Macaca fascicularis: one gene and its partners. The main gene of each other region encodes a partner of the protein of the gene in region 2 in a complex. Links are inferred from orthologs where the notes say so. Each region holds a gene or a part of one and is shown on either strand. Other genes may lie near its edges. The genes, in order: ZFP36, CNOT1, NANOS1, CNOT2, DDX6 and CNOT9.

What was found.
Region 1: the proteins of CNOT1 (region 2) and ZFP36 are in contact, whole or in part, in a crystal structure (PDB 4J8S), measured with the Homo sapiens proteins. The link is inferred for Macaca fascicularis from reciprocal best matches to the Homo sapiens genes CNOT1 and ZFP36. Residues at the interface, in NP_057368.3 of Homo sapiens: Gln821, Glu835, Asp845, Ala848, Asn849, Phe852, Gln853, Tyr856, Asn894, Glu897, Glu898, Phe901, Gln904, Tyr905, Pro906, Glu909; in NP_003398.3 of Homo sapiens: Arg314, Arg315, Leu316, Pro317, Ile318, Phe319, Arg321, Ile322, Ser323, Val324, Ser325.
Region 3: the proteins of CNOT1 (region 2) and NANOS1 are in contact, whole or in part, in a crystal structure (PDB 4CQO), measured with the Homo sapiens proteins. The link is inferred for Macaca fascicularis from reciprocal best matches to the Homo sapiens genes CNOT1 and NANOS1. Residues at the interface, in NP_057368.3 of Homo sapiens: Ile2327, Ile2330, Lys2331, Trp2338, Glu2350, Phe2353, Gln2354, Val2356, Ala2357, Met2361; in NP_955631.1 of Homo sapiens: Phe40, Ser41, Ser42, Trp43, Tyr46, Leu47, Leu49, Thr51.
Region 4: the proteins of CNOT1 (region 2) and CNOT2 are in contact, whole or in part, in a crystal structure (PDB 5FU7), measured with the Homo sapiens proteins. The link is inferred for Macaca fascicularis from reciprocal best matches to the Homo sapiens genes CNOT1 and CNOT2. Residues at the interface, in NP_057368.3 of Homo sapiens: His1864, Ser1865, Ala1866, Ala1867, Arg1870, Asp1871, Gln1917, Pro1921, Ala1923, Pro1925, Ala2003, Tyr2036, Leu2039, Glu2040, Ser2043, Arg2045, Ile2048, Ala2049, Ala2053, His2054, Leu2079, Leu2084, Lys2086, Gln2089, Ile2090, Leu2091, Tyr2092, Lys2093, Gly2094, Leu2096; in NP_001186231.1 of Homo sapiens: Met350, Val351, Asp353, Gln354, Phe355, Gly356, Met357, Ile358, Gly359, Leu360, Leu361, Phe363, Ile364, Arg365, Gly372, Met373, Val374, Leu376, Ala377, Leu378, Gly379, Ser380, Asp381, Leu382, Leu385, Leu387, Asn388, Leu389, Ser391, Glu393.
Region 5: the proteins of CNOT1 (region 2) and DDX6 are in contact, whole or in part, in a crystal structure (PDB 4CRW), measured with the Homo sapiens proteins. The link is inferred for Macaca fascicularis from reciprocal best matches to the Homo sapiens genes CNOT1 and DDX6. Residues at the interface, in NP_057368.3 of Homo sapiens: Glu1097, Ala1100, Phe1101, Phe1103, Asn1104, Asn1105, Leu1106, Ser1107, Ser1109, Asn1110, Lys1114, Lys1137, Arg1138, Ile1141, Glu1142, Asn1144, Phe1145, Leu1148, Tyr1149; in NP_001244120.1 of Homo sapiens: Phe329, Ser330, Arg331, Leu332, Gln333, Ile334, Asn335, Gln336, Leu357, Gly358, Tyr359, Ser360, Leu384, Arg386, Asn387, Ala402.
Region 6: the proteins of CNOT1 (region 2) and CNOT9 are in contact, whole or in part, in a crystal structure (PDB 4CRU), measured with the Homo sapiens proteins. The link is inferred for Macaca fascicularis from reciprocal best matches to the Homo sapiens genes CNOT1 and CNOT9. Residues at the interface, in NP_057368.3 of Homo sapiens: Ile1415, Ala1416, Thr1418, Thr1419, Gln1422, Ile1423, Lys1426, Asp1427, Phe1428, Met1444, Asn1447, Leu1448, Gly1451, Met1452, Met1454, Ile1455, Arg1458, Glu1459, Tyr1548, Gln1549, Arg1552, Met1553, Pro1554, Gln1556, Ile1557, Leu1559, Val1564, Lys1567, Gln1568, Leu1569; in NP_005435.1 of Homo sapiens: Arg19, Glu20, Tyr23, Ile26, Asn27, Ser30, Ser31, Pro32, Arg35, Pro54, Met55, Trp57, His58, Ser59, Phe60, Gly61, Ile63, Ala64, Ala65, Leu67, Gln68, Val71, Asn72, Tyr74, Pro75, Ser76, Ile77, Asn78, Pro79, Thr81.

Annotation. Positions count from the first base shown.
Region 1 is NC_088393.1:46,480,802-46,486,113, reverse strand, and holds ZFP36 (mRNA decay activator protein ZFP36), read right to left. Parts: upstream 3,683-5,312; 5' UTR 3,641-3,682; coding exon 3,599-3,640; intron 2,790-3,598; coding exon 1,833-2,789; 3' UTR 1,109-1,832; downstream 1-1,108. UniProt on the Homo sapiens protein: Zinc-finger RNA-binding protein that destabilizes several cytoplasmic AU-rich element (ARE)-containing mRNA transcripts by promoting their poly(A) tail removal or deadenylation, and hence provide a mechanism for attenuating protein synthesis.
Region 2 is NC_088394.1:54,634,848-54,639,638, forward strand, and holds part of CNOT1 (CCR4-NOT transcription complex subunit 1), read right to left. Parts: exon of another isoform or gene 4,109-4,791; intron 4,058-4,108; coding exon 3,809-4,057; intron 2,594-3,808; exon of another isoform or gene 2,035-2,593; coding exon 1,871-2,034; intron 1,715-1,870; coding exon 1,597-1,714; intron 13-1,596; coding exon 1-12.
Region 3 is NC_088383.1:128,034,303-128,039,249, reverse strand, and holds NANOS1 (nanos homolog 1), read right to left. Parts: upstream 3,193-4,947; 5' UTR 3,105-3,192; coding exon 2,238-3,104; 3' UTR 1,391-2,237; downstream 1-1,390. UniProt on the Homo sapiens protein: May act as a translational repressor which regulates translation of specific mRNAs by forming a complex with PUM2 that associates with the 3'-UTR of mRNA targets. Capable of interfering with the proadhesive and anti-invasive functions of E-cadherin.
Region 4 is NC_088385.1:77,069,765-77,074,555, reverse strand, and holds part of CNOT2 (CCR4-NOT transcription complex subunit 2), read right to left. Parts: coding exon 4,791-4,791; intron 1,531-4,790; coding exon 1,469-1,530; intron 1,380-1,468; coding exon 1,330-1,379; intron 1-1,329. UniProt on the Homo sapiens protein: Component of the CCR4-NOT complex which is one of the major cellular mRNA deadenylases and is linked to various cellular processes including bulk mRNA degradation, miRNA-mediated repression, translational repression during translational initiation and general transcription regulation.
Region 5 is NC_088388.1:117,625,593-117,630,383, reverse strand, and holds part of DDX6 (probable ATP-dependent RNA helicase DDX6), read left to right. Parts: intron 1-947; coding exon 948-1,094; intron 1,095-2,992; coding exon 2,993-3,087; intron 3,088-4,791.
Region 6 is NC_088386.1:114,504,715-114,509,505, reverse strand, and holds part of CNOT9 (CCR4-NOT transcription complex subunit 9), read right to left. Parts: intron 849-4,791; coding exon 669-848; intron 1-668. UniProt on the Homo sapiens protein: Component of the CCR4-NOT complex which is one of the major cellular mRNA deadenylases and is linked to various cellular processes including bulk mRNA degradation, miRNA-mediated repression, translational repression during translational initiation and general transcription regulation.

The DNA of each region.
Region 1 (5,312 bases), on a different chromosome or scaffold from region 2:
AAGGGAGACGGGAAGGAGAAAGGGGGTAAGAGACGGCAGGATGGGGAGGCTGAAAGTGGGGGGAGAGGAATAATGAGGGAGGGGACAAATTGGAGGGGGGAGAGAAGAACAGAAGGCAAAGGGCGTAGGACGGGGCAGCAGGGTGCAGAAGAGGAAGTGAAAAGGAGGAGGAAGGGTGAGGGTAGGGAAAGGAGAAAAGAGGGAAGTGGGAGGGAAGAGGAGGGAGAGCGGGGCAAGGAGAAAGAAGAGGGGTCGCGGGGGGCGAAGTCTGGGCGGCAGGGCCGAGCCGCAGGCGCTGACGCAGGGCGGCTTCCGGGCGCGGGGCCCCGGGGCTGGTCCTGACGCCGCTGGCCTTGTATGGTCTGAAGACGCTGTTCCTCCGGGGCCCCTCCTAGACGCGCGGCCCCTACCCACACGCCCTGGCCTCGCGGGGCCGACCCTGGTTGGTGTCCGAGGCCTCGGGCTTCCAAGGTTCGGAAATGCCAAGACCCAGTCATTCCCGGGCTCCAGGGTCCCGGTGGCCAGAAATCTGCCACTCCGAGCCACCAGGGGTCTAGAGTCTAAAGCGCTAGGGGACACAATCTGAGACTCCCAAATGTTGAGACCCTAAACTCTTGAGACCCTAAAACCCGCTTCCCCAACATCCAGAAGGTGTCGAAGCCCCCCCGGAACCCCTAGTCCCGAAACGCGTTCCGCTACCCCAGGCTGCCCCGCCCCGCGCCCGCCCCCGCCCCCGCTCGCTCTGGGCCCGCGCCCCGGCACATTCCGTCCTCCCCACCCGGCCCCTCCCGCCTCCCGCCTCCCGCGGCCCCGTGGGGACGGAAACATTCAGTCCCCGCCCGCGCCCGCCCGAGAGCTAGGTCAAGGAGCCCGGCAGGACGGGAGCGCAGCGCCCCCGACGCCCGGGAACTGGCTCCCCCGGTTCCCATCTGGTGACCTCACCTGGTCCCACCCTTTCAGGTGAACTGCCAGGCCCGGTGACGTCACTTCCTGCCAGGTAAGCGCCGCGGGGCTCGGAGAAGCAGAGTTGACTGCACCCAGCTTCCAAAAAGTCACCCTCTACCTCCCCATTCCTGTCTCTAGACCGCGAAGAAGCCAGGATCCCAGCTTACACTCAGATTGTTTATTTAAAAATGCCCCAAAACACAAAAATAGACTTTTAAGGTAACAATATATATTACTAAATATATTATAGTCTACTTATAATTATACCGTCGTTTCCAATATTACAAAAAAAGAGAAAGAAAAATACAAGGGAAGCAGACGACCCAATATATATAAATACTATAAAATCATATTAGAATAAATAAAGTCGTCATAAATAAAGGGTCCATTGATTTATGGATGGGGTTTGGCAACGGCTTTGGCTACTTGCTTTTGGAGGGTAATTTGAGCACCAGGATTCCCCCTCAGGAGAGGTTCCAGTTACCAGGAGACACTGGAACCTCAGGTCTATAAACACTGGAGGGGCAGTGAAGGCCTATTATTCACAGCACGTAAGATTCTATGAGACAGATTTGGGCAGGGAAGAGGTGGGGAGAGGGCTCACTGCCTCCCTTAAATATGCTACATTTTTTTTTTTTTTTTTTTTGGTCAAAAACCTCAGAAGACACTCTATCCCCCACCACCATGAATACTGAGCTTGCACACTTGGGGACCTGCCCCAGTGTGAGGTCAGGGGAGTGGGTTAATGCATTCTGGAAAAGGGGGTTACTTGATTACTTGATTACTGTCCCTCAAGTCCCCATAGCCCTAGGGTCCATGCAGAGACCACAGTGCAACAGACGTGGCTCCCCGCTGAGATCCAGCTGATCTGACCGGGCAGTCACTTGTCACTCAGACACAGAGATGCGATTGAAGATGGGGAGTCGCCGGGGGGCTGCCGCGGGCTGGGGTGGTGCAAAAACCCCCGCCTCGAAGACAGGAGAGTCAGAGCCCCCCAGGCTGCTGCCGCTGCTGGCATATTCATCAGGGTCGGATCCCAGGGACTGTACAGAGGGGGTCCGAACCAGGCCACCCAAGGGCCCCCAGACGCTGACAGGAGTGGCCCTTCGGCAGGAGGGGCAACAGAGTGGGCTGGGGTCTCTTCGAGCTACGGGGGTACCAGGGGCAGCAGAGAAGGCAGAGGGTGACAGTGGAAGGTCCCCAGGTGGTGGCGGGGAGCTGGAGGGCGAGAAGGAGCTGGAGGACAGGGAAGGGCCGACCAGGCCTGGTGGTGGTGGTGAGGTCCGGCGGCCAGAGGGCAGGCCGGAGAAGCTGATGCTCTGGCGAAGCACAGGAGGGTGGCCCGGGGCCGCCAGGTCTTCGCTGGGGTTGTGGATGAAGTGGCAGCGAGAGCCATAGGGGCAGCGGCCCTGGAGGTAGAACTTGTGGCAGAGTTCTGTCTTGTACTTGGGGTGGCGATTGGCCTGGCGCAGCTCGCCCAGGCCATGGGCAAACTGGCACTTGGCCCCGTAGCGGCAGCGTCCACTCTCTGAGAAGGTCCGACATAGCTCAGTCTTGTAGCGCGAGGGGGTGGTGGAGGTCGCAGTGGGCGAAGTGGGTGAGGGTGACAGCTCGGGGCCCAGGCGGGGAGCCAGCGGTGCGAAGCCAGGGGGTGGGGGCACCCAGCCACAGCTGCGGCCTTCTACCAGGCTGGTGGAGCGGCCAGGCAGGCGGGAGGTGACCCCAGACGGGCTGGAGTCGGAGGGGCTCAGGCTCCAGAGTCCCGAGGAGCCCCAGCCTGGGCTGGACTCAGTCCCTCCATGGTCGGATGGCACCGGCACGTCAGGGCTCAGCGACAGGAGGCTCTGCGGAAATGGGTCGGTTAAGGTACCCGAAAATGCAGGGCGACGCCCCACCCCAGCTGCAGGGAACTAGAGCTTGCCAGGCCGGTTTGTGGGCTCCTGGCCTGAGCCCCACCCGCCTGCAAAAACCCCTGGGTTCCGGATGCCAGGAACCCAGATTTGGAGGTTCTGAGTTTACCCACGATCGAGGCCTTATCCCGAGGGACCCAGGAATCCCGGCTTTCCCGGCTGGACCAAGAGGGGGCCCCGAAGTCAGGGCACACCACTTTTTCCCAATTTTGGGTCTCTTGCCCTCCCCAGATATGACCCACGCGTCAGGATCTCCAGTTTCACAACTGGAGGAACCGGGCAAAGTTGACCCAGGAGTCCGGATGGCTTCGGTTTTAGGGTTCTCAGAGAACTACGGTCAGGGACTGGAGACACAGAAGTCGGATCCCCCCCACCCTGAGACTTCAGCCCCAGAGACGCCTCCGCGCAAAACCACGCCCTCAGCGACGACTAGGGGTGAGCCAGGTGTGGGGGCCACTTCCGCCTCCAGGCAGCCTAGGTCTGAGAAAAGTTCTCCGACTTTCCACTCGCACGGGCCGCCCCACCCATGTTTGGGCCAAGAGCCGGGAGTCGTGGGCTCCATTTTCACCTCCAAATCACCAAGCTGGTCTGAGCGGGAGGCAGGGGCCCCAGGCTGGAGGGCAGGGCGCTAGGAAGCCCCAGTTGGAGAAGAGAGGCAAGCGTCCCGGGATGGAGTTTGCGGCGCTAGAGAGCTGGGGAGTCAAGTGTGCAGGTACCGGGGGTGCCGTGCGGTGGGGACTCACCTCGTAGATGGCAGTGAGATCCATGGTGTAGCGGTTGGCCATTAGAGGGGAGTCGGCCGAGAGTCGGAGCGCTGAAGTCAGGCTGAGGCTGGCAGGGAGAGCCGGCTACTTAAACAGCAAGCACGGGGCGGGGCCTGGGCCAGGGGCGGGGCAGGAGGGGCGCTTCCCGGACGCGCGCCCCCGGCGCAGCCCGGCTGGCCCTGGACTGGTTCCCTTCCGCCCGGCCCTGGGCCAGGACGCGCCTGAGCTTGGCCGGTGGACAGCCGCGACCGGGCGGGGAGTGCGTGGGGAAAGGGTGGGGGTCGGGGTGGGGGTGCGGATCGGGGGGGCGCCTGCCCAGTTTTCAAAGCTGGAGACTGAGGCGTGTAGAAGGAAACTGGGGCGGAGGTGGGGGCAGGGCTTCAGGGGCAATTGACAAGGGCAGAGGCCCGATGGGGGTGCGCGTGCGACACAGACGGACGGGGGCGGGGAGAGACACGCAGAGGGGTACAGACAGGGAGAGAGGCAGAGAGAAAAACAGAGACACACACACACCGAGAGACACATACAGGGAGAGATAGGGTGAGCAGGGGAGGGACGGTGGGGAGACAGAGACAGTCCCAGAGACAGATTCAGAGGGAGAAGAGGGTTGGGAGGATCACAAAAAGAAACAGAAAGGGGCTGAGCGCAAGTGGTTTACGCCTGTGATCCCAGCACTTTTTGTGTTTTTCTTTCTTTCTTTCTTTTCTTCATTATTATTTTTTTGAGAGACGGGGTTTCCCTATGTTGCCCAGGGTGATCTTCGCCTCCGCCTCCGAGACTGAAGGGATCCTCCCACCTCGGCCTCCCAAAGAGCTGGAATTACAGGTGCGAACCAGCAAGCCCGGCCAATCCCAGTACTTTGAGAGGGTGAGGCAGGTGGAGTACCTGAGATCAGGAGTTCAAGATCAGCCTGGGCAACAGTGAGATCCCATCTCTACAAAAAATACTATTTAAAAAAATTAAAAAGAAAAACTGGACAAAAAGGAGAAAGACTGTGAGAAACAAGCACTTACAGAAAGAAATCTGCCAAGCAAAGTGCCAAGAAAGAGCCGGCAGGCCTTGGAGGGGAATTCTCTGAGAACTGCCTGCCTTGTGTTGTCTCACTCCTAAACAGCCCAGACAGATGAGACCAGAACTGCTCTCCCTCTCCCCACTTGCTGGGGTTGGGTGGGTGAGTGAGTGGGTTGGGGTCCAGGATGCCTAGCAAGGCTGAAAAGGGGCCTCCTTTCCCAAGTCACAGGGCGGCTCTAGCCCCTCATCCTCAGGCAGATGATCTCTTCTAGGCTGAGTTAAGGAGAACTCACCTAGGCTGAGTTCTAAATGCTTTACGCACATTCATCCTAATGCTAGGTGGTATGCCTATTTAAGGCAGGAGGAAACCAAAGTGAAGTTACTCTCCTGCCCGGCTCACACCTGTAGCCCTAGCACTTTGGGCACCCAAGGCGGGCGGATCACGAGAGCTCAGGAGTTGGAGACCAGTCTGGGCAACATGGTGAATCCCCGTTTCTACCAAAAATACAAAAATTAGCTGGGTGCGGTGTCACACGCCTGTGGTCCCGCTATTGGGGGGCGGGGAGGGAGCAGGCTGTGGTGGGAGAGTCGCTTGAACCCAGGAGGCGGAGGTTGCATGAGCTGAGATCCCGCCACTGCACTCCAGCCTGGGCCACAGAGTGAGACTCCCTCTCAAGGGGGT
Region 2 (4,791 bases):
CATAGGCCACCCCTGAAAGAAAGAAATGTATGAGTCATAATTATACTCAGCTGTTTTTCAGCCACTACAAGTTGCCCAAGCAGCTACACTGACTTAACTTCTTAACTTAACAGAGGAAGTATCTCTACTAAAGATCAGCATTAAAGGCCAGGCACAATGGCTCACGCCTGTAATCCCAGCATTCTGGGAGGCTGAGTGCCGCTGGATCACCTGAAGTCAGGAGTTCGCGACCAGCCTGGCCAACATGTTGAAACCCTGTCTCTACTAAAAATACAAAAAATTAGCCAGGCGTGGTGCTGGTCACCTGTAATCCCAGCTACTCCAGAGGCTAAGGCATGAGAATTACTTCAACCTGGGAGGCAGAGGTTGCAGTGAGCCGAGGTCGCGGCACTGCACTCCAGCCTGGACAACAAGAGCAAAACTCCGTCTCAAAAAAAAAGAAAAGAAAAAAGACTGGCATTAAAAAGATTAAAAAGGACCAAGTTATTACAGAGATAGTGGGAAATAATATTTGAAACAAACTGGCTCCAGAGATTTCAAGACATAATGGTCCCTGTGTACCTGCAGCAAAATTTAAAAATTTAAAGAGGAAACTTCTGATAGAACACAAAACAGTCAACTGCAGAAACTGACAACTAGAAATGTGTTTTCTTAATTCCTTATTAAGTCTCGGCCATTTCTTTTCCCTCTTTCAACTCCTCAACTCTTTGCAAATAACCTTGTTGAGTCCACAACATGAATTCTCTATTTTCAGCCAAAGTCGGCCTGCTCACCCTCCCCCAACTATACCAATTATGTTCAATTAATTCCTGGATAATTGTATTTAATATGTTGTGTTTCTGTCTCCTAGAATACCCTTCTCCACCAAACAAAACCAACTTCATTTAAGAGCTATTTCACCTTCTTTGTCAAGTTCACTCCATTACATAGCAGTCACATTTCTTCTGATCTGAGGGGCCAAAAAATGGTACTTTCTGCAGTACTCATTTGCCAATTTAATTCCAAGATGGGAGGAAAAGAACTTCTCATGTTAACTGTGTTGTATTACCAATTAGATAAAGAACTTTTAAATAGAACTGGATCATAATCCTTCAAAATAACATAGCCCAGTAGTCCTCAACCTTAGTTTGAGAGCCTTCCACATTTAAAGTGAGAGTCTAAAATCAACAAGCTCCAGAGCCCTATTACCCAGAGATTTATTCAGATATTTATGAGGGCACACATGGATTTCAACTTTAAAAACAACACCCCTACCACCCCAAAAAACCCCTTAACTGACAAATATGTAAAATAAATCATTCCTGTGTATAAAGAAGCAAAACATTTTAAAAGAAAGGAAAAAACAATTTTAAAAAACTTGAGAGACTGACACAGGGGGCCCACAACCTTGAAGCAGCAACACCTAATCACTGAAGAATGGCTTTCAGGCAGAGACAGTCAAGTACTTGACTTGAGTGAACACTTAATAGAATTCCCAACTAAGTTTGGAAGAAGTACAATTACTACTAAATGACTAACAGAAATCTATAGGCAATGCTAATAAATAAGCCCAGGTAGTCATAGTCTTCATGTACAGGAGATAAACTGCAGCCACACCTTCTGCTGTGGCGTATGTGCCAGCATTCTTGCAATAAATATCCGATGAGAAATCAGTTCAAGCCAGGCATATACAAAGCCAGGAGCTTTGGTAGGCCTCAAGATGTGGAATGTATTGCTGAAAGAAGAAAAACCTTAGTCAGAAGCGCAGTCCAACTTAAATACAGTGAACAGCACATGAATGTAGGCTCAAAATGCTCAAGGGTTCTACTCCCCAAATTTTACTACATTAATCCAGCAAACCTTAACACAAAATTTCAAACGCAATTCTCACCAGAAAGCTGTAAGTGTCTGGAAATTAATGGTTTCCAACACATGCTCAGGTGCATTGAGTTCCAAGAGAAGCATGATAAAAATTCGATGGTAGGGAAGCTGCTGAAATTCACTCTGACGAACATCATGATCCTGAAGGAGAACTCCCACTACTATACCAAGGACCTATATAAAACACAAATTAGAGCTTGTAAATCATTCGGATAATTCACTTACCACTTTGATGTCATGCTTTTTAAACTCTGCATTCTTAAACCCAACATTAAAAGAAAGCATATATACAATTTGAATACAAAATTACATGCTGGCAACCGATGGGGCCATAAATTGGTCTGACTCCACCTTCAGTGTTTTGTGTGTTTCTTTGAATTTCAACATCCTTGGACCACACCTGAATATTCTCTACAAACGCCCAATGGTTTTTCTTCAGCTCTAGAAATCAGCAAGGCCCCCTTACATTTCACCATGTTAAACACAATATAACAATCTAATTTGTCTGGTCTGACATGAAGTTGACATGTGGCAATGATTTACACTTATCTTGGCATTTAGTAGGCAGGGGCCAGGAAAGCTGTTAGGCTGCAGAGATCTCATTCCACTTGACTTGCCCACTGAACAGTGAGGGGCTTGAAGAACACATCTCTAATTTCCCAAATCCAAAATCAAAATCCATTTTTACACGTATTTTTGCACTGCTTTAATATTCAGATTTCCAAGAACTCCACTGTGTAAATAAGCCAATGGCTAATGTCACTCACGTACTTGAGTTGCCAATCTATCAGCAGGGGAAACTTCTAGCCACCCACTCACAGTGATTCTGTGTATGGGGCAAATTCATACTGTAGTCACTACCAAGCATTAACATACTGAAATACATTATGATCTCTTTTTGTGTTTCTATTAAGGCACTATATTCTGTTTCTAAGACAGAGCGGATATGTTTACATATTATCTACAAATTTAATTTCAGGACAGAAAAGAGGAGTTAACAAAATGTTTTGGGGAAGGGTTGGCCTCAATAGGGTTAAGAACCACTGATGTGGCCAGGCATGGTGGCTCATGCCTGTAATCCCAGCACTTTGGGAAGCTGAGGCAGGCAGATCACTTGAGGGACTCAAATAGGGTTAAGAACCACTGATGTGACCCGGCTCGGTGGTTCACACCTGTAATCCCAGCACTTTGGGAGGCCGAGGCTGGCAGATCACGAGGTCGGGAGATCAAGATCATCCTGGCTAACACGGTGAAACCCTGTCTCTACTAAAAATACAGAAAATTAGCAGGGCGCAGTGGTGGACGCCTGTAATCCCAGCTGCACGGGAGGCTGAGGCAGGAGAATGGTGTGAACCTGGGAGGCAGAGTTTGCAGTGAGCCGAGATTGCGCCACTGCACTGCAACCTGGGTGACAGAATGAGACTCCGTCTCAAAAAACATAAAACAAACAAAACAAAAAATACAAAAAAATTAGCCGGGCATGGTAGTGAGTGCCTGTAGTCTCAGCTACTCACGAGGCTGAGGCAGGAGAATGGTGTAGAGAGGAGGTAGATACAAATCTAGGAGGCAGAGTTTGCAGTGAGCCAAGATCGCACCACTGCACTCCAGCCTGGGCGACAGAGTGAGACTCCGTCTCAAAAAAAAAGAAAAAAAGAAACCACTGATGTGGCCGGGCATGGTGGTTCATCCCCATAATCCTAGCACTCTGGGAAGCCAAGGCAGGTGGATCACTCGAGGCCAAGAGTTTGAGACCCGCTTGGGCAACATGGTGAGACCCTGTCTCTACTAAAAATAGAAAAGCTCCAGGCATCGTGGCTCATGCCTGTATTCCCAGCTACTTGGGAGGCACTCCAGCCTGGGTGACAGAGTGAGACTCTTTTTAAAAAAAAAAAAAAAAAAAAAATCCCACTGATGTAGACCAAGACTAAGGCAAGAAAGGGTTTCAGACCTTGTTCAGCAGATTAATCTTTGTGACAGTGTTGGTGGCCTCCCCTGAGTGTTTCACGAGCAGTGCAATGAGTCGAACAAAGGCATCCAGGTTGTGATAGCACTTGGCTCGGATCATGGTGGGATTAGCAGCAGGATTGTGCTGCTGCTCAGCCTGAGCACGGTAACTGATTTCAACACACATTTCAGTACACAGACGAAAGAACCTTGTTATGAGATCATCAGTCTTCAGTATTCCTTGCTGGTGCATCTACCACAGGAACAAAAAATAAAGACACAATGAGATAACACACACAAATAAACTTGATATACCTTTAATTTTCATGCTTAAGAGATATTCTCATTTGTTCCTACTGTCATATTTCTAATTCTTACATTGTAATAAATGTATTATCAGAATTATTTTCCCATTAAGGTGCCATGACACAATTCCTCCAGTTTTAAGTTTAATGTAGAACAGGGAAGATGGAAACTGACAGATTATCATGGCAATTTTGAACAGTATGTCCCCACCAAATAATGTGGAAAATTAACCATGCAAATAAAACCAACTGTTCGTAACTTTAAGTCACATTAAGACATTGTGGACTCCAAAGAGGAGACTAAATTGCATGTATTTTACTTTCTCACAGAATTTAAGGTAATTTACTTCTCAAGGATTTGAAGATAATTTCCTCAAACTGACTTAATAACAAAGCTTTTAAAACTCCAACAAGCTACCCCCAGAAAAATCAATAATTTGTACAATAGGTAAGTACCAAATGGAAATACACACAAATCTGATCTAGGTATTTTAATGTAATAAAATGTTATACTAAGTTAAAATAATGTGGGAAACACAAGTTTATTTAAAAGAAAGGAAAAATTAGAAACTATATGACATATGAACTAGAAGTGAAGCACAGCGGGAATGTTATTTGGCTAGTTCCCCTCACTCCTTTAAAACAAACAAACAAAAAAGACAACAGTGAAATATGCATTAAG
Region 3 (4,947 bases), on a different chromosome or scaffold from region 2:
ATTACAGGCATAAGCCACCACGCCCAGCCTGAAAATGGGGTACTTTAAAAACAGGAATAGTGGCTGCCTGACTAGTTGGCGAGAGGGTCTTCTGGATACCTTTTCCAATACTCTCTTGCCCTCAGGAAGCTCCAGCTCAGTATGTTCTTAGTTCTGGTAGAACAGTAGCGGTGTCAGACTATCAAATTAACATTAGACACATCTCATCACAGTGACTCCCATATATTCAGGCTATGTCAAAGCCTCCAAGACCTTTGGAAACCGTCTGTAATTTGACTCTAGAAATACACAGGAGCTAAATTGATCTTGCCACCTGGTTAGCCCTTTTGGCCTAGAGAATGCACTGATCTGTTTATGGTGGTCCTTTTGAAAAGGCAGAACAGCAGCAGTGGGAGAGGTAAGAGGATTCATGTTGGCCTTAGAAACTTCAGCCAGAAAGCGAAGCTCATTTAAACCGGTGTATTTTCTAGCAAAAGAAAGGAGAACAAGTAATTACAGGGTTTCATTAAGCTACTTAATTTAGGCCCAATCAGATCAGCAGTTCTCTGGTCTGGGGTTAAGACTAGCAGCGTTGGATTATTTTTCTTTCCCGGCTAAGAAAGTGTTTTCCCCTGCCCCCAAGTTCTTGATATGCTGCACCTTTTCTTTGACCAGAAAGACAGCTATTGGGTATTTACTCCACCCTCTAACACACCTTCAAATGAAGGTTCCTGATTGAGCCAATTTGCTGTGGAGGAAGTTAGCTGTTATTATGAAAGCAGTCTAACTTATAGTAGCCTAGCTAAATCCTACTGGGAGCCCTATACACGTAGACTAAATCTCTTGCTGGTATCTTCAGATAGTGATGCATTTGTGTATTTCAGATGAGTTCATCTTAATTCACTTCTATTTTTTGCCTTCTATTGTCTTGATTGGCAGGTAGCTGCATTCCATAATGTGGCATTCAGTATGGTGGATTTAAAAGTGAGGGTGGGAGGGTAAAGTAGGGGTTAGGAACTTTTGCCCATCAGGTTTAGTCTTGCTTATGGGGAACTGGTGGGGTTCCGGAAATGGACATGGGTCTTCCAGTAGGAGTGGGAACATGAAAGACCCCCAACAATTCCTTTAATTAGTGCTTATTCTAGTTTGAGCACTGCCTATATTAAAGTCAGACGCAGCCCACGGTGGAACCTTCTTGAATACGAGTTAATACACGAATAGCTCAGAGCTAGAGATCCATCTTCTATTTAAGAGGCAACAGCTGGAATGGGCTTTCCTCCACTAGGAACCCTGAAATTGAGCAATCTAGGGTGAAGACTGCTGTCTTCCCTTCTTCCCTTTGATCTTAATATCAAACGTTTTGAGAGAACTGGAAGTGAGTGCGTCGAGAAAAGGCCAAGTAGAAAAGCTACAGGTGAGATTGATGAATTCATAGTTACTGTATAAATACACAGTTTTTTTAAACAGCACCATTTCCAAGTTATACACAATATGATTATGACTTAGCACAACTTTTAAAGGTGGAAAAGGCTAGTTGCTAGTTCAGTAATAAAATATCTGGTACATAAAAGGATAAGGAGCTGTATTCTACCTGCTACAGATTGTGCATTTTACACCTCCATCTAGGACGGAAACAAGCCACAAGGAGGGAATACCCGCCCAAATTAATACTGGAAAGTTTACAAAACCTTCACTTCTCATAAGGGTGATGCTACCAGCGGCTTGCTTCACCTGGAATTAGAGTAACTGATTTTTTAAGGACAACTAAGAATATTGCTTCAAACAATAAAATAGTCATTTTGCCGACATTTCATAAAATCGCCAGTTTTAAGCTCAGTTCAGAGGCTTTTAAAAAAATATTCTAGACCTAGTAAAGTGCCTCCATTCATAAAATGAAACATCCTAGATTGAGACAATTTCATACTGATGCGCATCTAAAATAGGTCCACGTATACAGTAAATAAACAGCGCCTCTAAGTTGCCGTATTTCAGTTAGTGGAATACACACCCAGCCTTCGCCGTTCTGGATGTGCAAACTAGAAACTGAAGACATGGTGATTTCACCGTCTAGTCCCATATTGCTCGGCACGGAAGTACTCCACACGGTCGGCTGCTTTTGAAAAACCACCAGGACGACGTCCCAAAGTCGAGCCGACCGCTGAGCCGCACGCCTCCCCACGGCGGGGGCAAGATGGTGCGCAGACCTAGTGGTGCGAGGGGCGGCGGCGGCGACCCTGGGTGGCCGGGAGCCCGGGCCCTCAGCGCAGCTTCTTGCCAGGCAGGCCGTCCCTGGCGCTGCGGGGCGGCGGGCGGGCGGGCGGCGGCGGCACTTTGGAGAGCGGGCAGTACTTGATGGTGTGCGCGTTGTCGCCGCTGGCGCCGCACAAGGGACACGTGTAGCGGCGCAGCACTGGGCACAGCACTCGCCCGTCGGGGCCCTTGAGGATATGGGTGGTGTAGAGCGCCATCGCCTCCTTGTTGTTGCGGCAGAATACGCACACCTGCAGCTCCGGCTTCAGCAGCCGGGCGGCCGCCGCCCCGGAGGCCGCGTGCAGCCGGGGCTCGGCCGCCCATGCCGGGGCCCGCTCCTCGCGCGGCGTCGCCTCGCTAGTAGTGGCGGCCGCGGCAGGCGCGCAGCCCAGCAGCACGGCGGCGGCACGACCTGCGAACGGGCTCAGCTCGGCGAAGCGCTCCTCCAGCAGCCCGGCCTCGGCGGGGCCCGCGCACAGCTCCAGCGCTCGCAGCTCCAGCGCGCCCCCCAGGTAGCGGCCCCGGGACCCCGGCTCGTCGCTGTCGTCGTCGTCGTCGTCCTCGTAGTAGTCGGGCGGCCCCAGCGCCGGCCCCAGCGCCCCAGGCCCAGTCCCCGCGTGGGGGGAGCAGCAGGACGAGGAGGAGGGCGGGGAGCCGCTGCCGCCGTTCCCACCGCGGGCGCAACCGAAGCGCGGCTCGCCGTCCACCGCTTTGGTGATGAGCGTGGCGAGCCCCAGGTAGTCGTTCCAGGAGCTGAAGGGCTGCGGGTGCGCCGGGCCCGGGGCGCTCACGTAGCGGGCGCTGGGCACGAGCGCCATGGGCGGGGGGGCGCGGCCGCGGCGGGGCGAGCGGGGCGCCCAGGGGAAAGCCTCCATGGGCGGGCTGCGGGCCGCGCGCCGCCTCCCCGCCGCCGGCGCGGGCCGGACGGAAGGGACACGCCGAGCCTGCCCGCCGGCCTGCCGCGGGGTGGGGCCGCCGCGCCGCCTTTTATCGGGCCCGCTCCTCCCCGCCCCCCCGGCCTCGCCGCCGCGGCCCTGCCCCCTGCGCTCCCCCGCCCCGACCACCTCGCCCGCGCCCCGGACGGAGGCGGAGCGGAGGCGGGCGGGCTGTGCGCGCGCTCCACTCCGGCCCGCGCGGGTCCCGCGCCCCGCGCGCCGCGCCAGCTTCGCCAGCTGTCGGGAGGCCTTCATTCCGGGAGGGGGCGGGCGAGGCGCCGCCTCGGGCCGTGGCGCTCATTGGCTGCAGACCAGAGCCCCCCGGGCCCCGGGCGCCGCTCCGGACGCTGATTGGTGGGGACTGGGGAGGGGGCGTGCTCTTCACGCAGCTGGTAGGTGAGGAGAAAGTAGGGGAGAGAAGGGCCGGGGAGGGACTGCTGCTGAGGTCCTCTTTCGTTCGCGCGCCGGGCCTGGCCTTGGAGCAGGTGACCAGGCCTGGGTCTCCTCGGCCTGGTGGTGAGGCCCACCGAGGACAGGGGTCAGGGTGGCCACAGGTTTACGCCTCCACCTCCCGGCCTTTAATGGCCCCAGGTCCGCATCCTGAGAATCCCCGCTATCCACCCTCTTCTCACCAACATCAGCATGAAAAGCTGGACGCGATGGGAGGATGCAGCTCTCCCATCACAGCCGCCCAACCAGCCAGTGGCTTCCGTTTGCACCGCGCGTTGGAGCGCTTTCCCTTGAGCGAAATCCGCACACACCGTGAGGTTCGGGGAGGCTGTGGTTCCTGCCGCGGTAAGAGCGGAGGGACGCAGGACTTTCCCGCTCCTCGCAGCAGCCTTCCTCCCAACAGGTGCTCAGGGACCTCAGCCGATGGGTGGCCGATACCCGGTGACTTAGGTCGGGGTTGGGACTGGGCCGGAAAACCTCATGGCTGGAGAGCCTAGGACAGTGACTGGGATGTGTGTGTGTGTGTACCTCCTCGACCCAGAGGCCTGAGTCAAAATGTGGGTTATATGTGCAGTTTGAAAAACAACGTGTGTTCAATGTTATATTTTGTCTTCCTTCCTCCCTTCCTCCCTCCCTCCCTCCCTTTCTTCCTTCTTTCCTTCCTTCCTTCCCTCTTTCCCTCCTTCCTTTTCTTTTTTTTTTCTTTCCTCATCCCGGGTTCAAGCAATTCTTTTGCCTCAGCCTCCCGAGTAGCTGGGAATACAGATGCCCGCCACCACGCCCGGCTAATTTTTTTATTTTAGTAGAGACGGGGTTTCACTAGTTGGCCAGGCTTGTCTTGAACTCCTGACCTCGTGATCCGCCCACCTTGGCCTCCCAAAGTGCTGGGATTACAGGCGTGAGCCACCGCATCCGGCCTCTTTCTTTATTTCTCTCTCTTTTATCTTCTTGCTTTTTTTTCTTTTAATTTTTTATTTTCTTGAGACAGGGTCTCACTATGTTGCCTAGACTGGTCTTGAACACCTGGCCTCAAGCGATCTTCCTGCCTTGGCCTCCCAAAGTGCTGGGGTTACAGACATGAGCCACCACACCTGCCTCGACGTTATAATTAAATACTTTGAAATGAATAAAACATGTTGTGGAAAAGCCACGGAGAATAAGAGCCAGAAGATGAGTTTTGATTAGGAAGATGGCAGGTGGTCTTACCCTTTCCAACTTTTTAAAAAATTGAAAGTAGGAAAAGCTTTAGATACTGAGGGCTCTTCTAGGACGAAACCTAGAACTGGGATCAGGAAAATGCCTCCCCTGGCAGGTGGGCCCTGGCAGCGTGGGC
Region 4 (4,791 bases), on a different chromosome or scaffold from region 2:
GAAAGTAAATAAAATGAGTGAAGGTGTATGAAAGCACCTTGTAGAGTACCAAATATATAGAAGGCTTATAAAAAATGTTAACTGAATCTATATCTGACAGTGATTCACAAGTCAGTTGTATGCTTCCAGCAAATCACAGATGATGAATACAAAACCCAGAAAGAAATGACTTTTTAGTTTGTTTAAATAGATGCCTGAAAGATAACTGCTTTACATTTCTCTCCACAAGGTAGAAACATAACCGCCTACCAAGAAATGTTCACATTTAAATAAACCTTAAAAGTGTACCAAAACAACATTTTTACCTTGTTATTTGATCCTGTATCTAAATACTTATTTGGCTATTACAGATTATCTGAATGTAATTTTTCTCTCCATTCATGCTATCCCTATTCAGGCAGCAGCCCCCACGTGACAAATTCTCCTAAATTAGTATTTCTCGAATTGGCAATAAGAAAAGGTTCTGGAACGCTTAGGTAACTGGAGCAAAAGAGCTCTATAGTGGGGGTGAGAGCAAATCACACAATCCACAAATAGAAAATAGGAGACCTCTCCATCTCATACTTCTTGCCTTCCATCTACTGAAGTATTAAAAGACATTGAGAAAGGTATCCCTTTTACTTGCCTGGTCACAACATCAACATCCACTTGACCACAGAACTGTAAGGCACCCTCATAATGCTGTCATATATATATATACATACACATACATATTTATACACAAATATATAACAAAAATGTATTATTTTTTCACTAAATTGTTGTTTCCCAAGGCTAAAATGTAGATATCATTGTGAATTTTTTTGGTAATAGAAACACTCAGTTCTAAAGCAAAAAGTGCCACCATTTTCTTAGATTGAAAAAAGAGAGATTAAGCTGTAATTTGTTGTTAATAATTACTTTAGAATTAGAATTTTAGGTGATTTAAAAAAATGGAAATGAAAAAATACAGAGAAAAGTCAAGGTCATAAATAGTTTTTAAAGATACAGATCATCTCATTAAAAACACTGTATCTGTAATACTTGTAAAGAAAATCTTTTTACTGCTAAGATCATAAAATAAGATTATCAGAAGGAAATTTATCAAATGTTCCAATCTAGTTTATTCCCACCAACTGTGGTTATGGTTGTAACCTGTTGTTAAATATAAGAATTTTTATTTTTTACCAGTCCTAACATTTACCATTTAACAAGTTAACATGGACATATGAAAGCATATCCCTGAGACCATTACTAATTATTTCAAAAATAGTATGCTGCCTGAACTGAAAAACACGTGAAAAATAGATAAATTCGTGCTGACTGAGTAGAATAATAAACTACACTCACCTTATCCCTAATGTGAATGTTCGTTAAGTACTCAGATGGAACATGGAAGTCTGGATAATAAAATGAAAAAAGCCTTATTAACTGATTCTCAGTTGTAAATTTCTTTTTAAAAGGCCTAAACACAAATAGATTCTCCTACCTATGTCTTGAGGTCGACAAGGTGAAGATGCCCAGGGTGATGCAAATTTGGGGTAGAGATTTCTGAATAAGGAGGAAAAGAAAACATTTTGAAATCCAAAGCAGAAAAACAGATTTCTAATTTTATTTCAGGAAAAACAAAGACTCCAAATGTAAAATGACCATCTTTACTTCTAATTCCCTTACTTGGGTTTACCGACTTATACAGAAGCAGACGAAGAATGCGTGTGTGTGTGTGTGGGGGGGAGGTGTGTGTGTGTGTGTAAAATATGATAAGACTCCTTCCCTCAGTATTCTTGCAACACAGTATAAATAACACAACATATCACAATATACAAAACATATGATTAAAAATTTTCTACTTTTACTTGACTTCAACTCAAGATGCTTTAAATTCTTTGATACCATGCTCCCAATTTAAATTACTTTCCCACTTATTTATGTGGCAAGAAGAAAAATGAGTAACTATTTGTAAAAGTTTAAATTCATCAAATATTTACTGAGTGCCTATTATATGCCTGGCACTGTTCCAGGAGCTTATGACACGTCAGTGAACAAAACAAGATCACTGACAACATGAAACTTACTTTCTGGTTGAGGAATGGTGGATTGGAGGGAGGCAAACAAAAATCAATTAACATAATAAATAAACAACGGCCCATGTTAGAGGGAACTGGGAGGGGAGACTGGACAGATAATTATTAAATAGGGTGGTCAATTAGGTTTCATTAAGGTGGTCAGATCTGAAGATTTGAAGGCTATGAGGGAGATAATCATATTAATTATCTGGCAGAAGACTCTTCTAGTCTGAGGGAACTGCTAAAGCAACTAAGGCAGGGACATGACTGACATGTCTGAGATACAAGGTGGCCAGCGAAGCTGGAATACAGTGAACAAAGGGAAAAGCTGTTGAGGTGGGGTTAGGGGACAAACAACAATCATGTAAGACCTTGTAGGCCTGTAAAGATTTGGGGTTTCTGGTCAGGTGCAGTGGCTCACACCTTAATTCCAACACTTTGGAAGGCCAAGATGGGCAGATCACTTGAAGTGAGGAATTTGAGACCAGCCTAGCCAACATGGTGAAACCCTGTCTCTACTAAAAATACAGAAATTAACTGGGCATGGTGGCACATGCCTGTAATCCCAGCTACTCAGGAGGCTGAGGCAGGAGAATCGCTTGGACCTGGGAGGCAGAGGTTGTAGTAAGCCAAGATAGAATCACTGCACTCCAGCCTGGGCAACAAGAGCAAGACCCTGTCTCAAAAAAAAAAAAAAAAAGATTTGGGGTTTTTAATCATAATGAAACCACAAACTCTTTCTGGGTGTTGAGCAGAGGAGTAATTTATTTAAAAAGGACTCTCTTGGCTGTTATATGAAGAGATTGTATGAGAAGGGGGATAAGGACAATCAGGGACCCCCAGGGACTGGCTAATGGAGTATTCAGGCAAGAGAGAATGATTCAAACAAGGGTGGTAGCAGTTAAAAAGTAGTGAACTTTGGTCAGATTCTGTATATATTTTGGCAAAAGCCTGATTATGGGGTATAAAAGAAAGAGGAGTTAAGAATAATGTCAAGCTTCTGGAAGTACAGAGTTACCACTGACTGAGATTGGAAAGGCTGTAGACAGAGTAAGTTGGGGGGTGATAATTCAAGAAATATTTAATTAGCAATTGAATGTAGAAATCTCACACTCAGAAGTATGGAATGGAAACATATGTTTGGGATTCCTTAATATATATGGTATTTAAAACAATAAGACTAGAAAAGACCATCAAGGATCTAAATGCAGAGAAGAGGAATGACACAAAGAGGTCAAGAAGAAAAGGAGGAGGTACCAGCAAAGGAAATTGAAAAAGACCAACCAGTGAGGATGATGTAAAAAATGGTGCTCTCAAATTCAAGGATGAGAATGTGTATTAAGGAGCAAGAGTTCCTCCAAGTGATCACTGAATTTAATAACATAGAGGTCATTTGGTGACCTGAATAAAAGCAGCTTTAGTGAAGTGGCAGGGACAAAATCCTGACTGAAATGGGCTTACCAGAGAATGGAGAAGACCAAGTTGGAGGAATTGAGATGATTCTTTGAAAAGTTTTGCTTCAAAGGGAAACAAAGAAATGGGAAAGTAACTTACAGAGGAGATTGGATCAAAGGAAGATTTTAAGATGAGAGAAGTAACAATGTATTTCTATGTTGATGAAAATGACCCAACAAAGTGTGAAAATCTGTTGTTAAGTAGAACGCATGGGTCAATTGCAGTAATAGGGTGGAAGACAAGAATAACGTAGATGTAGATGGCTGTAGGTAGTCAGATTTGGTGGCTAGATTGTGCTAAATGTGCTCTTCTAATTGCTTCCAACTTTCTTAGGACAGTAAAAGTAAAAAGCAAGGTCATCATTTGATAGTAAGAACAAGGAGAAAAGGTATTAGGGGTGTGCAGAAGTGTATGTAATTGCGTAAGAGAGAAAAGAGTAAATGGACTAAGCATGCAAGGTATAATTATCCCTGGTAGAATTAAGAGCCTACTTTTGAGGTTCCTGGGTACGAAAATAAAGGAAGCCCAGGCAGTGATACCATGTGTTTTTCTCTAGCAGGGCTCAGTAGCACAGGTCAGGAATGAAATAGGCAGAAACAACCAGTACTGTAGCTTTGGCCATGCAAGTATAACAACATGAGAAAACGGCAAAGTAGTCACGGGATATGTAAATGAACAATTACGACTGACCACAGAATTTCATGGGTAAGAAGGGAGTTGATTACAGAGGAAGAGAGACAGGGATATGGAAGAACAGTTAAAACACAGAAGAATCAATAGATTGAAGGCCCCGGTGGAGTGAAATGATTACAGGAATTACAGTACCAGAAGAAGATAACTAGAAAATAGAAAGTGGAAATCGGAAAGCATGTGAGCACAGATTTTAAAATTGAGAGACTGCAGTTACTAACAATGACTAGGTCAAAGGGATAACTAAAGGAGTGGCTGAAGTATACTACAGGACAAAAATTCCTGGAGGAAAGAAATTCAAGGAGCTGAGATTTCAGGATTGTGGAAGGTGTGTGTATATATATACACATACATACACACACACATATACATACTTGCACATGCACACACATGCACACACACAGACATATAAAATGCCAAATTATAAAAGGAATACTGCAGAGTGCCAGTGATCTAAGAGCTAATATGCAAGCGAATGACCCAGAGAAAAAACAGATTACAATGAGTAGCAGTAGGTGAGACAATTTGATGACATGATATTAAAAACTGGAAGTCTGAAGAGGTATTATATACAGACATGAAAAAACAGAAAAAACTTACT
Region 5 (4,791 bases), on a different chromosome or scaffold from region 2:
GTTTTCATAATGTCCTGTGAGTCTTGTGATGATTCAACTTTTAGTTTTTTTGATTTTTTTAGTAGAGATGGGGTCTTGTTACGTTGCCCAGGCTGGTCTCAAACTCCTGAGCTCAAATGATCCTCCCGTCTCAGCCTCCAAAACTGCTGGGATTCCAGGTGTGAGTTACTCACTGTGCTACCCAGCCCAATTTTTTAATACATCTCGGTGTCTAGATTATAAGGGCAGTGTTTCCTTTTCTTTTCTTTTCTTTTTTTTCTTTTTTTTTTTTTTTTTTTTTTTTGAGTTTTGCTCTTGTTGCCCAGACTGGAGTGCAATGGTGCGATCTCGGCTCACTGCAACCTCTGCCTCCTGGGTTCACGATTCTCCTGCCTCACCTCCCTAGTAGCTGGGATTACAGGCATGTACCATCACGCCTGGCTGATTTTGTAGTTTTAGTGGAGATAGGGTCAGGCTGTTCTCAAACTCCAGACCTCAGGTGATCCACCCACCTTGGGTGGATCCCAGCACTCCCAAAGTGCTGGCATTATAGGTGTGAGCCACCGCATCTGGCCGCCTTTTTTTTTTTTTGAAGCTGAGTCTCATTCTGTCGCCCAGGCTGGAGTGCAGTGGCGTGATCTTTGCTCACTGCAACCTCCGCCTCCAGGGTTCAAGTGATTCTCCTGCTTCAGCCTCCTGAGTAGGTGGTATTACAGCTGCGTGCCACCAAGCCTGGATAATTTTTGTATTTTTAGTAGAGGTGGGGTTTCACCGTGTTGGTCAGGCTGCTCTCAAACTCCTCGTGATCTGTCCACCTTGGCCTCCCAGAGTGCTGGGATTACAGGCTTGAGCCACTGCATCATAAGGGGCAGTATTTCTGTAGCTTCTTGAATTTTGTAAATATAATGTATAGTATGTTCTCCCACCTCACCCCATATTTTCTCATATGTTCCTTGATGTTGTTTCAGCAATGGTGATTGTTCCCACTAGAGAACTTGCTCTACAGGTCAGTCAAATTTGCATCCAGGTCAGCAAACACATGGGAGGGGCCAAAGTGATGGCAACCACAGGAGGAACCAATTTACGAGATGACATAATGAGGCTTGATGATACAGGTAAGAAATGATTACTAAAAGGTAGTGTAGCTCTCTGTAATTTTAGTCTCAAGTGTTTCAGTAAATTATTAAAAATTATTTTTAAGAATTAAGGAACAGAAATCCTGCAGTAAAAAAAGGAAATGACCATTGCATTCAAGAGAAAAAAACAGATTGACGGTAATTGAAAGCAATATTTGACTTTATTACTAATTCTAAAACAGCAAGTTTATAGTAATTTTACCTGTTTAATTGGTAAAGCTAAAAGTAGTAGTAGACATTAATGTGAGTTTGTGGAGAAATAGGCTATGTTGTAAACGTGGGGGTGTCAACTTATCTCTATCATGAGCAATTTGGCAGTCTTATTTTAAAATTATAAATTATATTTTTAAGAATCTTTCCTGAAGAAAAAAGTTGGGTAAATGTAGGGCTGTATGTACAAAGTTGTTTACTATGGGGTGGTTTGTCGTGCCAAAAAATTGGACCAACTTAGAAGGAGATTGGCTAAATAAATACATTATAGTCTGAATAGTATTCTACATAGTCATTAAGGAGTGAAGTTGATCTGTATTCATTTTCATTAAGATTTTCATGATACATTGCTGAGTGGAAAAAGGTAACAAAACAGCAAGAATGAGATCACTCATAAAATTATATCTAAAATTTTAGTTAGAATACTATATATAATTATGTGATATATTCTTTGTATTGCATAGGTTTTTTAAAAATTGTTATCTTGTTTGATCCTTTTAACAATACTCGGTTCACTGTTCCAGATTAGAGGCATTGCTTTTATGTCAGAAGTCTGGTGTGCCTTCTGTTATTAATTGGGAATTACCCTAAGACAAGAAAGTATGCCTCCTGTTGGAAGCAGGTGATTTGGGAAGCTGTACCCCACCCAGTGTAGAGGTGAAAAGTATTTTTTAAGCATCCTGCGGTGAAATGGAAGACTTTATCCTAAAACACATCTTTGGACCTTTTTGTGTTATTCCCACCTCTATAACACAATGTGTTTCTTTTCTTTTTTTTTTTTTTTTTTTTTTTTTTTTTTTTTTTTTTTTTTTTTTTCTGAGACGGAGTCTCGCTCTGTCACCCAGGCTGGAGTGCAGTGGCCGGATCTCAGCTCACTGCAAGCTCCGCCTCCCGGGTTCACGCCATTCTCCTGCCTCAGCCTCCCGAGTAGCTGGGACTACAGGCGCCTGCCACCTCGCCCGGCTAAGTTTTTGTATTTTTAGTAGAGACGGGGTTTCACTGTGTTACCCAGGATGGTCTCGATCTCCTGACCTCGTGATCCGCCCGTCTCGGCCTCCCAAAGTGCTGGGATTACAGGCTTGAGCCACCGCGCCCGGCCGTGTTTCTTTTCTTTCTTTTTTTTTTTTTTAATTTGAGGCACAGTCTTACTCTGTTGCCCAGGCTGGAATGCAGTGGTGTGGTCTCGGCTCACTGCAACCTCTGCCTCCTGGGTTCAAGCGATTCTCCTACCTCAGCCTCCTGAGTAGCTGGGATTACAGGCTCCCACCACCACACCCAGCTAATTTTTGTACTTTTAGTAGAGACAGGGTTTCACCATGTTGACCAGGCTGGTCTCGAACTCCTGACCTCATGTGATCCACCCACCTGGGCCTCCCAAAGTGCTGGAATTACATGGATGAGCCACGGTGCCCGGCCTAGTGTTTCTGATAAAAGATAGTCATGTGCTGCATAACAATGTTTTGATCAGTGACAGACCGCATGTATGTCGGTGTTCCCATAAGATTATAATGGAGCTATACAGTGGAGTAGGCTGTACCATCGCATAGCAATGCATTTCTCAGAATTATCATTAAGCAACTGAGGACTGTAATATGATAAACCTTTACAATATCCTTTTTGCCCAAATTAAAATTAATGAGAATATATGTTTTCTAAATCTTGCATAGTGCACGTGGTGATTGCTACCCCTGGGAGAATCCTGGATCTTATTAAGAAGGGAGTAGCAAAGGTTGATCATGTCCAGATGATAGTGTTGGATGAGGTAATATCTCTTCATTTGGCATTATACTATTCTGTACTTTTCTGTGCTTTGCTTATAACTGCCAGTGAATGAAGCAAAAGCTGCTTGTGTTTATGATCTAGTAAACACATAAGCGATCAGTTTAAATTAATTTGCTTATAAAATGTGTTTTACCTGTCAGCGGGAGTAGATTATAGGCATTCATTGGAATTCTCCTTTTTGTCTTTTTCTTAGAGATAGCAGAGATTAGGTTTTATTTTCATTTTTTAGAAGAGGAGTGAATAACCGCAAAGCCAAATTTATTCTACATCTCTTTCTACTCGGCGATTAATTTTTTTTTTTTTTTTTTTTTTTTTTGAGACGGAGTCTCGCTCTGTTGCCCAGGCTGGAGTCCAGTGGCCGGATCTCAGCTCACTGCAAGCTCCGCCTCCCGGATTTATGCCCATTCTCCTGCCTCAGCCTCCCGAGTAGCTGGGACTACAGGCACCCGCCACCTCGCCCAGCTAGTTTTTTGTATTTTTTAGTAGAGACGGGGTTTCACCATATTAGCCAGAATGGTCTCCATCTCCTGACCTCGTGATCCGCCTGTCTCAGCCTCCCAAAGTGCTGGGATTACAGGCCTGAGCCACCGTGCCCAGCCTCGGCGATTAATTTTTAAAAGCATATAATATATATTGTCTCCTTTTGTGCATACTACTTTGTAGTGTTTGGTTATTAATCTCTGTTAGACATATTATCTCACCATGTTATAAATGCCTTTTAAAAACTTATTAAAATCTGTAGTCCTGGGATCTAGCCATGTTTTGTACATATATAGATGGTCCCTGACTTACGATGGTTCACTTTATGGTTTTTCAGTGGAAGTGATAAGCTTTTATTAGAAACCGTACTTTGAATTCTTAAGATTAATTTTTTTCCTGGTTAGTAATATGCTATATGATATTCCCATGATGCTGGGCATCAGCAGCAAACTGCAGCTCCCAGTCAGCCACATGATCATTGAGGGTAGACAGCTGATACTGTACAGTATACGGTGTTGTCAAGTGATTTTGCCCAACTATAAGCTAAGTGGAGCATGTTTCAAGGAGGCTAGGCTAAGTGATGATGTTCAGTAGGTTTGGGTAGTATTTTCAACTTAGGATGAATTTATCAGAACATAATCCCATTGTAAGTCAAGGAGGATCTGTAGTGTATCAGTGTTAATGTTTTGACATGAGGTTATTTTCACATTTGGTTTGTGTTTTATTATTATTACTATTTTTTTGAGACAGACTCACTCTGTTACCCAGACTGGAGTGCAGTGGCGTGATCTCGGCTCACTACAATCTCTGCCTCCCGGCTTCAAGTGATCCTCATGCCTCAGCCTCCTGAGTAGCTGAGATTACAGATGTGTACTACCCACACTTGGCTAATTTTTGTATTTTTAGTAGAGGCAGGTTTTCGCCGTGTTGGCCAGGCTAGTCTTGAACTCCTGACCTCAGGTGATCCTCCCGCCTCGGCCTCTCAAAGTGCTGGGATTGCAGGTGTGAGCCACCACACCCGGCCTGGTTTGTGTTTTAGGTAACATTTAATTCAAATCAGGCTTTTATCTTTAAGTAATGAGAGAAAACATTTATTAGTCACTGGGTACCAACACTAAGTGCTTTACTTTTTTTTTTTTTTTTTTTCATTTAATCTTTACAAGAAACCTATAAGGTAGGTGTCCTGTCAAGTAGTTACTATAGT
Region 6 (4,791 bases), on a different chromosome or scaffold from region 2:
GTTCAAGATCAGCCCGACCAACATGGTGAAACTCCATATCTACTAAAAAAAAAAAAAAAAAAAAAAAAAAAATAGCCAGGCATAGTGACGCATGCCTGTAATCCCAGACACTCAGGAGGCTGAGGCAGGAGAACCGCTTGAATCCAGCAGGCAGAGGTTGCAGTGAGCCAGGATTGCACCATTGCACTCCAGTCTGGGAGACAGAGCGAGACTCCGTCTCAAGAAAACAAAACAAAACAAACAAACAAACAAAAACCCTCAAGAAACATTTCTTTTCCATGGAATATATTATACCTTGTGGTCCTTATACTCTACCTTCCACCTTTCTCCCGCTGTCATGTAGATTTATCTTACGGTACTCCTAAAGCTATGTCTGTCAAAGTGTAGTTCTTAGATCACCCGCATCACAATCATCTGGGGGTGGTGAAAGTGCTTATTAAAATATAGAGTAGAGGGCCCACCTCAGACTGACTAAATTGAATCTCTTGGGTAAGGATCCAAGAATTTGCATTTTAACGAATACCTCAGACCTTTCTAAAATAGGTTCTTACGAATGCAGATTTTTAAAGAATCATCCTCCTAAAGTCTTCAAATCATTTGGGCAAAAGTAAAGAAATATACAAGGGTAATGAAAAGAACTGAACTGCCAATCATGGATATAAACCCACCTGTAAAAGTGCTGCAATAGTACCAAATGAATGCCACAGCATGGGTGCAAGGTCAGGAACAGACTCTCGCTTCTTACTTAGCTCCAGCAAAGCATTTTCCCTTGTCTCAGGACTCGACAGCTCATTGATCCACTGATAGATCTTTTCTCTATCCACTTGTGCCAGTGCAGTAGGCACAGGCTTCAGATGAAGACAAGAAAGTAAATATGAGTTTATTAGAGTCAAACCAAGTCTTACCCTGCAACAGAGTTTTAGAGGAAATATATTTTCCATGAATACCAGGGGAGCTTTTCTAAATACATACATTTGATGTCAACTATTCAATCTCTTTGGCAGTTACTGATGAAAATCTAAAATGCACACATACCCTTTGATAATTCCATGTTTAGGAATTTATCCTGTAGGTATAATTGGGCTGTGCTAAAGATATACCAGGATGTTTACTGTTCCACTGTTTTAAAAGCAGAAAACTGGCCAGGCGTGGTGGCACACGCCTGTAATCCCAGCGTTTTGGGAGGCCATGGTGGGTGGATCACTTGAGGTCAGGAGTTCGAGACCAGCCTGGCCAACATGGCGAAACCCCGTCTCTACTAAAAATACAAAAATTAGCTTGGTGTGGTGATGGGCGCCTGTAATCCCAGCTACTCAGGAGGCTGAGACAGGAGAATTGCTTGAATTTGGGAGGTGGAGGTTGTAGTGACCCAAGATACGGCCACTGTACTCCAACCTGGATGACAGAGCAAGAGTGTGTCGCCAAAAAAAAAAAAAAAAAAGCAAAAACAAAAGCTAGGTGTGGTGGTGCATGCCTGTACTCCTAGCTACTCAGGAGGCTGAGGCACTAGAGTTGCTTGAGCATGGGAGGTGGAAGTTATAGTGAGCTGAGATGGCACCATTGCACTCCAGCTTGGGCGACAGAGTGAGACTCTGTCTCAATAAATACATAAATAAATGCAGAAAACTGGGCTGGGCGTGGTGGCTCACGCCTGTAATCCCAGCACTTTGGGAGGCCGAGACGGGTGGATCATGAGGTCAGGAGATGGAGACCATCCTGGCTAACACGATGAAACCCCATCTCTACTAAAAATACAAAAAGTTAGCCAAGCGTGGTGGTGTGCCCTTGTAGTCTCAGCTACTTAGGAGGCTGAGGCAGGAGAATGGCGTGAACCCGGGAGGCGGAGCTTGCAGTGAGCTGAGATCACACCACTGCATTCCAGCCTGGGCGACAGTGCGAGACTCCATCTCAAAAAAAAAAAAAAAAAAGCAGAAAACTAACAAGTATCTTCTCAATAAGAGACTGGTTAAATATTGGTGCAGCTTTATAATGTGATACTATGTAGTCCTTTAAAAAAAGCAGCAGCTCTCTATATACTGAATATTGATACTAAGTAAAAACAATAAAAGGGTTACAGAAGAGCATATAAAATGTTTCCATTAATACATACATATATAAAAATAAAAAATACATTCTTACACATTTACATATAACATTTCTAGAAGGACACATAAAAAACTGTTAACTGTAGTTACCTCTAAGGTTGGGGATTTATAGGGAGACTTACTTTTCATTGTTTACACTAAAACCTTTTGCATAAACTTTTTTTTTTTTTTTTTTAAACCATATACACATAATAGTTTTTGAGAGAAAAAAAATTATGCCTTCCCATTACTGGTCCCTCCCCAGTGATTCTGACATCCCCCCTCAACTGAGCAGAAAACCTGTAATTTGGAAAAGCTCTCCCTCTTAATGATTCTGCAATATATTATCTAACTACATCCCTTTGAGAACCATTCATTACTTACTCATGTAGGAAATACAGACTTAATAGGGCATGCTTTCATCATTATGCTAAAGAATCACAATATTCCCCCCAAATCTGAGTATTTTATTATTCTCTACAGTCATCAAATATCTTTGTGATCTTGGTTAAGTTCCTTAATTATTCTTATCTGGAAAACAAGATGGGAGACTAGAAAAATGATAATGGCTACCCCTAAGCTTTAAAGTGCTAACAAATTCCTGGTGATTTCTATCTCCAAGCCCAAAATTCTCAGGTAATTGCCCCCAACCATGAGAAATAAAAGAGGAGGTGGGGAAAAGCTATCTACACTTGCAGATGAGATCACTAATGTTCAGAGGAATTAACTCACTCAATTTAACCAGGTATGAAGTTGCATATTCCTGTACTTTTTTGAACTATAATACAGTTTCTCACAGTACTTACAAGTTCCCAATAGACCTTAGCATGACAGAATGATGACCTACACATTGTACAGATGTAAAGACAAAGAACAAAAAGAACTGCCTTTGTTGAAGAACAGAATTAAGCATAAAATAGACTTTGAGTGGATTCAAATTTACTCTATCCAACCTGAATAATGGCCTTTTAAAAATGGAAGCTTGATTATAAGCTCTTAGCCTGATGTTTATTATTTCACTAGCCTGACAGAAAGAACCACAACGTGTTCTGCTAAATAGACTGAAATACAATGCAGCTTAAGCTTTCTTTGAGTGCCTTACAGTAATCTGCTAAAAGCTGTTTTGTAACTCCCTTCAGGGATGGCCCTCAAGGAATCAATCATAGGCTCTTAGAGCAACAATACGATAGAAGGAATCTGGTAGCTTTTTTCCTCCTTTCCCCACAGCAAAAGCAGTGTTGTTCAGGCACTTGCCCTTTCTAGGCAGCCACAAACAGGCCCTCAACTTAAAAACTATTTTTGGAAATGTAATTCCTACCTGAAGATAGGGTATGTGTTTATTTAGAATATTACATCACCTTAGACGCTCAGCAGGAACACAAGATAAAATTTTAGCATTAGGTTTCCTGCCCAGTCTCTTGGATGACCCCACAATCCAGTAACTAAAGGAGGCCTCACAGACACTGGTCTGGCAATACAGTACCTATCCTGATTAATCAGTACCCATTCCAGTCGATCTTCCCCAAAGTCTTGTCATACTGATACCACCATCAGTAAACTCCATCACCCCTACTAGAGCCAGTCTGTGACTTGCAGTTGGCATCTTGTACCCCATCTTTGCCCTTGTAACCACTGATTTGCATACCATGACTCCTGAACACCAGGCCCCATCCCCACATATTCTCTTTCTGGAGCTGGCCTGATGCCCGCAGAGAAGATGGCACTGCTGGCAGTGGTGTGGGCACTCTGAAAGGCCAATGCCTGGTGCGTACATGGGTTCCTAAAGCCATGGACACCTGCTGCTAGCAGTATTCCAATTTGTGAGATTATTTGTGGGGGCTGCAGCCTCCATGTGCTTTTGATTCTAAGAGAGCTAGAACCATGTCAGATGGGTGGTAATGTGGCCCCCATGGGCACTAGCTTGGTGTTATGGGTTCTGCTGTCATTCTAGCCAAAAGGAGGGCAGTTTGGTGCCAGGAAATATCTAGGGTAGGGATCCTCCTTTTCATCATCCCTGCTGAATTTCACCCCCAATTTAATAGCAGTAGTAAGTTACACCAACTGAATACCCACCTGTCATGGGACGAATACAATTTTTTAAAAATAAAAATGAGAGCTTAAAACATACAGGGCTTACTCTGTCAGGCACTGTCCTAAATACTTATAATACTTATCAGCACTCTCATTTTATAGATAAGGAAAATCTGAGGCACAGAGAAGTTATTTAAAATTTAAATGGCAAGCTAGGATTTGTACCCAGGTGGCACAGGGTGTGGCACAGTGTGTGCCACCCAGTGTGGCAACAGGGCCCACACTTCTGCTTTGCTAATACAGCTTCTCATCTGCCTGAAAGACGAAATCTGATCTAAAGATGACTTTTTTTTCCCCCCCTGAGATGGAGCCTCGCTCTCTCTCCCAGGCTGGAGTGCAGTGGTGTGATCTCAGCTTACTGCAACTTCCGCCTCCCAGGTTCAAGCGATTCTTCTGCCTCAGCCTCCCCAGTAGCTGGGACTACAGGCATGTGCCACCATGTCCGGCTAATTTTTGTATGTTTAGTAGAGTTGGGATCTCACCACGTTGGCCAGGCTGATCTCAAACTCCTGACCTCAAGTGATCTGCCTGCCTTGGCCTCCCAAAGTGCTGGAATTACAGGTGTAAGCCACTGTGCTCAGCCTAAAAATGACTTTCTAATAAATTATATTACTTG